Zea mays: one gene and its partner. Each later gene encodes a partner of the first gene's protein in a complex. Links are inferred from orthologs where the notes say so. Each region holds a gene or a part of one and is shown in the gene's direction. Other genes may lie near its edges.

What was found.
Region 2: Vacuolar sorting protein 39 (region 1) and Vacuolar protein sorting-associated protein 41 homolog share a complex: the UniProt entries of both Arabidopsis thaliana proteins name them as parts of the homotypic fusion and vacuole protein sorting (HOPS) complex. The link is inferred for Zea mays from reciprocal best matches to the Arabidopsis thaliana genes EMB2754 and VPS41.

What each region holds. Positions count from the first base shown.
Region 1 is NC_050096.1:275,113,091-275,116,909, reverse strand, and holds part of Vacuolar sorting protein 39, read left to right. Parts: intron 1-2,209; coding exon 2,210-2,630; intron 2,631-3,710; coding exon 3,711-3,819. UniProt on the Arabidopsis thaliana protein: Essential protein required during embryogenesis. Believed to act in part as a component of the putative HOPS endosomal tethering complex. HOPS is required for the central vacuole formation.
Region 2 is NC_050097.1:2,313,072-2,317,480, forward strand, and holds the start of Vacuolar protein sorting-associated protein 41 homolog, read left to right. Parts: upstream 1-1,329; 5' UTR 1,330-1,389; coding exon 1,390-1,686; intron 1,687-2,200; coding exon 2,201-2,470; intron 2,471-2,556; coding exon 2,557-2,736; intron 2,737-3,159; coding exon 3,160-3,423; intron 3,424-3,544; coding exon 3,545-3,677; intron 3,678-3,775; coding exon 3,776-3,866; intron 3,867-4,192; coding exon 4,193-4,295; intron 4,296-4,409. UniProt on the Arabidopsis thaliana protein: Required for vacuolar assembly and vacuolar traffic.

The sequences.
Region 1 (3,819 bases):
AGATGGTCCCGTGAGGAAGGTGATTGCGCGGGCGAGTGCCTGCAAGGTGTCTGCGGCGGTGCGGCTCCAGGCTGCCGCACGTGACCTCCTAGTGTGTCGGCGGCTGCAAGAGGTGCACCGACAGATGCTCGAGACAGCCTTGGTGGCGGTCGACCTCAGCACAAGGGGACGCGGCCTCACCCTGTCGGATGGCCATCAGCAACCGCTTTGGGCCGTTGTCTCCAAGCGCGAGCATGGTGCGTGTCCCGCGGGCGACGAACTCCAATTCTACGGCAACGGCGGTAGGGAAGGCGCTCCCCTCCTTGTCATCGACGAGGGCGCACTGCCTAGCGCCACCACATTCCTCTACCGGCCGCCACGAGGGCACCTCCGCTAGTCATTGTTGCGACCCATTCCAGGTGGCCATCCACGTGTTCCCCTTTCGTCCAGATGGCGTCCATGGGATCCAGGTGGCTGCACACATGCATATCCAATGCGCGGAGGTGTCCGCCTTATCTTAAGGCTTCAAAAATAAGGAGTCACAGCCTAATTCAGGCAAGGTTACAATAAGCGCTAGGCGTTAGGCGGGCGTTAGGCCACTGTTTAGCGCCTAGAGAGCTTAGGCGTAGATTAATCGTGCTTAAGCGTTTGTAGGAATATACAATATAATATATATATTTGCACAGAAAAAACAGTTTTAGTTAGGAATTAGGGGTACTTACCTGGAATAATGAATAAAAGTATAGAACAAAAGAGATGGAGTAGAGCAAGAGCAGAGGGAGAGGGAGAGGAAGAGGGAGAGGGAGAGCACGCCTGGATAGCTAGGGAAAAGGAGCAGAGAGGCGCTGACCCCGGTGGCCTGGACGACTTGACCAGAAGGGGAAGAGGACACCGATGGTGGCGGCCCTGGACGGCTGGGGAAGAGGACCAGTCTGACAGCGGCCCTGTTTTCCTCCTCTTCCATGCAACAGCAGCTGCAGCTCCCAGCCTGTTTCACTCTCTCCCGGGCAACAGCAGCTCCCACCTCTTTCCCTCCTATTCACTTTCTATTCCCGCGCAGCAGCTTTTTTCTATTCCCGCGCAGCAGCTTCCGTGCTCACCTTTTCCCCGCGCGCCGAACCCCGCTTCCACACGCCTCCTTTCCGCCTCAGCGCGCATAGCGCAAATCACGCGCCGCCTACACGCGCCCACCGCGGAAACCACCGCCCAGGGCCTAAGCGCAGCGCTAACATGCCGCTTAGCGTCTAATCGTGATTAGGCGGGCGCTTAATCGCGCTTTTTTGAACATTGAATTCAGGTTCGGAATAACAAAATTAGCTGAGATGTAAAAGGCTTACTTTTAAGTGTTAGGTTTTTGTCTAGGGGAGTCATCATTAGCGTCATCTTTAGGTTGCAGCTCGAGGACGAGCTGCATGTCCAAGTGGGGTGTAATGTTAAAGGAGTCAAGGGCCTATTGGCCTTAGCCCATTAGGGTTAATTAGTCGCTTACGTAGGGGCCAAGTAAGACCTCTCTATATAATGAGAGATGTATCAATCTATGATCAAGCAAGAGATTAGAAGGAAATCCCTTCTCTCTTGCCATACGTGGGGAAAAAATGCGGCCGGCCTCCCCAACACATCTACTGTTCGTACACTGTTCATCCTCGCGGCACTGTTCATCCAGAGGTGCTGTTCATCAGCGTGAACAGTGCCACGCCTCTCCCAACCAGCAGCCCTAACCCTAGAACGACGGCACCCAAGCGCTGGGGTCCTAGTCCTAGACCCCAAACCTACCACTCGTACTACTTCCGTAACCCTAGTTCCAACGTATATATCCTTTTCGTCTTTCGTCTAGCTGTTCCAAGCCTGTCAGAGCATGATATTCTGAATTTTCCATGAACATTCTATCAGCCAATACTTAACACTCAATAAATGGAAAAAATATGGTTGAAACCTTAATATTTCTGTCAACATAAATTCTCAATTTTGGTCACTCATGGAAATGCATATTCTATAGTTCTTTGCATTTCTGTAAACTATACCACATCAAAGTGAACAACTATGAACAGTGGTTGAAAAATTAAATGCTGTCCGTTTCAAAGGGAATTCGTCGTTAATCTCAGCTACTAATTCATCAAATCTACTAGAAGCCAACATCATATTATTTTGTTATTATGCATTTGATTCTATTAACCTAATTAAGTGACATCTTAATATCTTATCCTTTATTCCTTTTGATTTTGTGGATTAGATATGGACACTTTTTGTTCGATAACGGGAGTTATGAGGAGGCAATGGAACAGTTTTCAGATTCACATGTGGACATTACTTACGTGTTATCTCTGTACCCATCTATTGTTCTGCCTCAAACAAATATTATAGGTGATCATGACAAGCTGCTGGACATGCCAGAATTAGCAAGGGAATCCTCCGATGTGACAGATGAGATGGAATCATACTCTTTACAGCTTCAAGAACCAGATGATAAATCTCCATTGGAGGTAAAGAAAATGAGTCACAATGCTCTAGCTGCCCTTGTGAAGTATTTGCAGAAGAAAAGAAGTGGCATAATTGAGAGAGCGACGGCTGAAGTAACAGAGGAGGTGGTCTCTGGAGCTGTTCACCACAGCTTAAAATTATCTGAGCCATATAAGTCAAAGAAGCTGAGCAAGGTAGTGACTTTTCAAGTTCTGTTTTGGTCTTGCTGCAAGTTAACTAGTAGAAATTGGTGACAGATGTGGAATTGCATGGATCAAAAACTAATAATATATGCACAGGTGATGGAGTCTCTATCTGAGTAGGTTTGGTGGCTTGACCGCTTGAGTGAGTCTTGAGTAGCACTACTCAGGTCCTAGGTTTGACTCTCCATGGGATCAAATTTTCAAGCTACGGCTAAAAAAATCCCCTCATCCATTCCACACCAAAACGTAGGTCCAAGGTCCGGCCCTGGTCATGGTCGTTCTCATATGGGCTATAATGCCGTTGTGTATGGGTGGAGCAGGGGTCCGGGATTTTTTCTCGACCTGCATGAAGGTCTTCTTAATAGTTAATACAATGCAAGAGGGCTGTTTTACCCCCCACAGGTCGAGTTTTTTTAAACATATACATAGTAGAACGAACTTGAAACTGACTAGATATTAACATGACCTGATTTTTGGAGTATAAGTATATCCCATTTCATATATTTATATGAGACCGAGAATGATTCTTGACACTAGAATTGGTGTTTGCTTCAATGCTATTTGTTTATTGACCTTTGAACTGCAGCTTGCCTTTTCTACAACCAAATTCATTTTAGGATCCCTAGACAGAAAATTGTTTGGTTCTTTTTTTGACAGAAGTGTGGAAGTTTCGTTCCTTGGTCTCTAGATTGGTTTGTTGGGGGTGTTTCAGTGTCTTGTACAGTTAGGTCAGGGTAAATTTAGAATGGAAGAAAGTAAGCGGCTATATGGGTTCGTTTATGTAGGAGTTAAACTGAGTTAAACTGGAATACTTAGAAATATTAAGGACATATGGTAACCTGAGCTAGAAACTGGGCAACTTTCAATTATCTTGGGACTTGGTCCATAATGGATTGCATTTCTGGAATATAGCTGTAGATTTTGGTCATGGGTCAGGATACTGCATCCAAAATTTCTGAGACACTGTAAACTTGTTACTTGTTAGTGTGCATGGTGTCTTTCAATTGTGTAGATGGTTGCAATTTAACAATATATCAGTTATTTACCAATCAATTTCTCTTTTATTTTCAGAAACGAGCTCAGACACATACAAGCTCTATTGCTAGAGAAATGGCAACTGTACTGGATACTTGTCTGCTTCAAGCTCTTATTCTTACTGGGCAGTCATCAGGGGCAATAG
Region 2 (4,409 bases), on another chromosome or scaffold:
CATTAAAATTGGATAGAGTTTGTGTAAATCTAACCTTTTTACGTCACGTGAGCTAAACCTATGTGGCTAAAATTTTAGAGTGGAGCTGGCAAAGTGAAGCAGTTGTAAACATCCTTTATAACACTCATGCTACCATACATACTTAAAAGTGCCTTTTTTTCCCCTAAAAGCCTGGTTAATACTTCTTTAACTAAAGATATCTTAGAGATGTAAACAATCACTTATTTTGTAGTACTAGACTAAATAAGTGACTGCTCTGTGTCTCTGGGCCAGGGACGGGGCCGGCCATTACGGACATGTGGTGTCATCTCATTGATCCCGTGGACAAGAGCCGTCATCGGTTGCATATGAAAAGCTGGGGAAAAAAAATAAAAGGAGGCTTGATGGCGCTGTTGCCTTCAGTCCAAACAGGTCGGTGCCTCCATGACGCCTTCTGCTGGTCGTTGTCCACGTCCGCCGTCCAGAACTCTGGATCGCCAGCGAGACGCCGAAAGGAAAAGGTAGATAGCACGCGTGCGTGAGCCGTGACTCGGTCGGAGGCGATCCGATGACGCTGCTCCCTTCGCGCAGGCTCATCTCGATCCATCGGCAGCGGCCAGTCAGACAAAGATTTAAATAGCCTGTCAAGCTAAATTTTAACGACCTAATAACAAAATAGCTTTTCAAAGGATTAGCTATTTTATTTGTCAAGCTATCCGATCCTCTAAATTAACTCCATCACTAGCTAAATTTAACTAGCAACTCTCGATAGCCAAGCTAAATTACATGTTAGAGAGTCTATTAAATAAAATGTTATATATAGAGTTTAATCTTTATAGAGATAAATAAAGAGTCAAAATTAAAGAGTTTTTTTTGAGGTGCTCTCACTGTTACTAACAGCCAGGCGAAACTGAAATAACCGTCTGGATCAGTGCTTTTACTACTTGTCTGCCGTCATCGGTGAGGAAACCACGTCAACGGCGAGACGATGCCACGATGGCATGACATTATTAATTGCTGGGCTTCCAATCCGATCCACCGAGCCAGAAGCTCCAGGCGGCCCACGTGTGCCCACTCCTTCGCGGTCCAGGTCCAGCACTCGAAACCGATGGAGACCCGACCGCGGACCCGGCCAGCGCCGAGCAGCCACACCCACACCACGACCACGAGCCGAAGGCCCGCACCCGGCGCGTGGCTCTCCTGGGTGGCTAGCCTGGCTCGATCACCAGCCCAGCGGCCCAGCCGGACCCGGCTCGGCCGCACTCGATGCACTGGACTAGTTTTTACAGGCGTTCACGACACATCAATGGACGAGCACCGAGGCAAAGGCAGTTCTTACACGCGGGCCCTCGGCTTCACCGGAAATCGCCTCGGGACGGGAGATCTCGCGGGCCGGCCGGCGGCGAGAGGATGTCCACCGCGCCCGCGCGGCGCGCCCGCCCGCCGCTGCCGCTGCAGAACGGCGCGGAGGGCGACGACGAGCGCGAGGAGGAGGTTGATGAGGAGGAAGTGGGCGATGACGAAGCGGAGGAGGAGGAGGACGACGACGACGAGGAGGAGCCGCGGCTCAAGTACCAGCGGCTAGGCGGGAGCGTGCCGGCGATCCTCTCCACCGACGCCGCGGCCGCCATCGCCGTCGCCGACCGCATGGTCGCGCTCGGCACTCACAACGGCACGCTCCACATCCTCGACTTCCAGGGCAACCAGGTACCCTTTTCGTCTCGCCACAGGGCGCTCTCTCCCTGCGGAATTGGGGCTTGTGATGGGAACGGGCGAAGGTGTGGCGTTGAGGGAGACGGGATCCTGGGGCATTGGGACTGCTCTTGGAGCTTCTTCCTCTATACTTGCTGGGTCAAAACTACTTTTGCCACTTCAACAATAGAGTTTGGACGGATTTATTAATCCGAAACTGACCTGGCTGTAGACGCTCACACGGTTGCTGGAGGCTCTGCTAGCTTCCTTCGTCACTCGCAGCTTGAAATCCTGTGATGCATATAGGTCTGGTAACAAGGATCACGCCACTGTAGTATTGTTCTGATTGAAATTCCCCGGACCTATGGTTGGGGAAGTTGTGGAGCCAAAGAATGACACGTTGATATGCAAAACTAAAGCACGTGATCAAATGACACTGTCACTCCATGTAGATTCAATCTGTAGGAATGCTAAACTTGCATGCTGATACGCATCAGTTTCATCTATTTGTGCTTTACGTTTTGTGTAGGTGAAAGAAATTGCTGCGCACACAGCAACTATCAACGACATAAGCTTTGACGCAGACGGTGAATATATAGGCAGCTGCTCGGATGATGGCACAGTGGCAATAAACAGCCTCTTCACCGATGAAAAGCTAAAGTTTGAGTACCATCGCCCCATGAAGGCAATTGCTCTAGACCCTAATTATGCCCGGAACTATAGAAGATTTGCTACTGGTGGTTTAGCAGGCCAAGTACTTGTGCTGACAAAGAAGTCTTGGGGAGGTTACCATAAGAAGGTAAGTTTGGTTTCCTTAGGATAATAGATCTGATGCATCCAGTGACCTCTAATGGCTAGCACATCTCTTGCTTGATGGTTATGTAGGTTTTGCGTGATGGTGAAGGGCCAATCCATTCGATGAAGTGGAGGGCGGATCTTCTTGCTTGGGCTAATGATGCAGGGGTCAAAGTGCATGATATGAGAACAGACAAAGGGATCGCATTCATAGAGAGACCAAAAGGCATTCATCGACCAGAGTTCTTGCTTCCCCACCTAGTCTGGCAGGTAATTATATCTTTATATCTGTATATGGATTATACATACTCGACTGGTACATTTCAATTTTGTTAGCATATGAGTAAAATATTAATAGAGGGGTGCAAAAGCAAAGGATTTTGTGAAGTGGAAAGTTTTGGTGATATGTGCAATAAGTCAAATATTTGCTCTTAACTTTAGTATGCGGAAGACAGGATATTAGCCAGGGGCACAAACACAAAGAAACACACATGATGCTTCTATTTCTAATGAATTGACATACTTTCAATCGTGTAAAAGGAGCATGATAGCCATTTTATTTTCTGGCTGATATGGAATCATTCATGTTATTAGCGTGTCTGACTCAAGGACTGACTTCTAAATTTATTATTTTCTAGCTTATATTTTGATTTAAAAAGTACATGTTATGTTAACTGATCTATACATGCTTAGGATGATACAGTCTTAGTTGTTGGATGGGGAACAAGTGTCAAGATTGCAGCGATCCGAACAGATCTATCTCAGGGACTCAATGGCCTACAAAGAACTATCACCACAGCTAGTTCTGAGAAGTATGTGGACATTGTGGGCTCATTCCAAACAGGCTATCACATATCTGGGGTTGCTCCATTTGGTGACCTTTTAGTCGTACTTGCCTATATTCCTGATGAGGATGAAAAAGAGAAAACATTTAGTACTTCTGTTACTTCACGACAGGTAATCATCACATCTCTGAATGTCTGTTACATCTGCATTGCATACCATGTACCTTTGCTTCTAAAATAATGCTTCTGACTTCTGAGATTGATGTTCCTGTTATGTTTCTAAAATTTTGCAGGGAACTGCACAGCGTCCAGAAATACATCTTGTATCATGGAAAAATGATGAGCTTACTACAGATGCTCTGCCTATTCATGGTTATGAGCATTACAAGGCAAAGGACTATGCTCTTGCACATGCACCTTTCTCAGGTTTAATTGATTGTGCTCTAACATCAGTGGCATTTCTTTTCTTATTGATGAGAACTTTTCTAATGAAGGAACCCTGATTCTCTTGTCCTGTCATTCAGGAAGTAGCAATGCAGGTGGACAGTGGGCTGCTGGTGATGAACCTTTGTATTACATTGTGTCTCCTAAGGACATAGTCGTTGCAAAGCCAAGGTTTGTTACAAAGAAAGAGCTCATATCAACCCCCAATTACAATATCTAATTTTATCTGATTGTCACTTTGAGGATATTATATTAATTGAAATTTAATGAGTGACCTCCAGCAAACTTTAGAAAGAATCGATCTTTTCCATACATTTTCTGGAGGACACAAAGTGACTAAACCATGCTTGTCAGTGAATATACACAATTTTGTAGTGTCCAGCAGCAAAAATCAGTTTCCATTACCTTTCAGTAAAAGTAAATCGTTTTGACTGTCCTGTGGCAAAATTTTCCCAAAAATAATCCCATGATTAATATAGTGTGCACCTTCTGATTAGAGATGCTGAAGATCATATTGCTTGGCTTCTTCAACATGGTTGCCATGAAAAAGCATTGGCTGCAGTTGAGGCAGGGCAAGGACGCACTGAGCTTCTTGATGAGGTGAACTAGAGAAATAGTTGTTTGAATTTGATAGTAACGCAGAACAATACATGATCCCTCTGATAATGAGTTATTCCTTTTACTATTTTAGTAACCTACCAGTGTGCAGTGTTA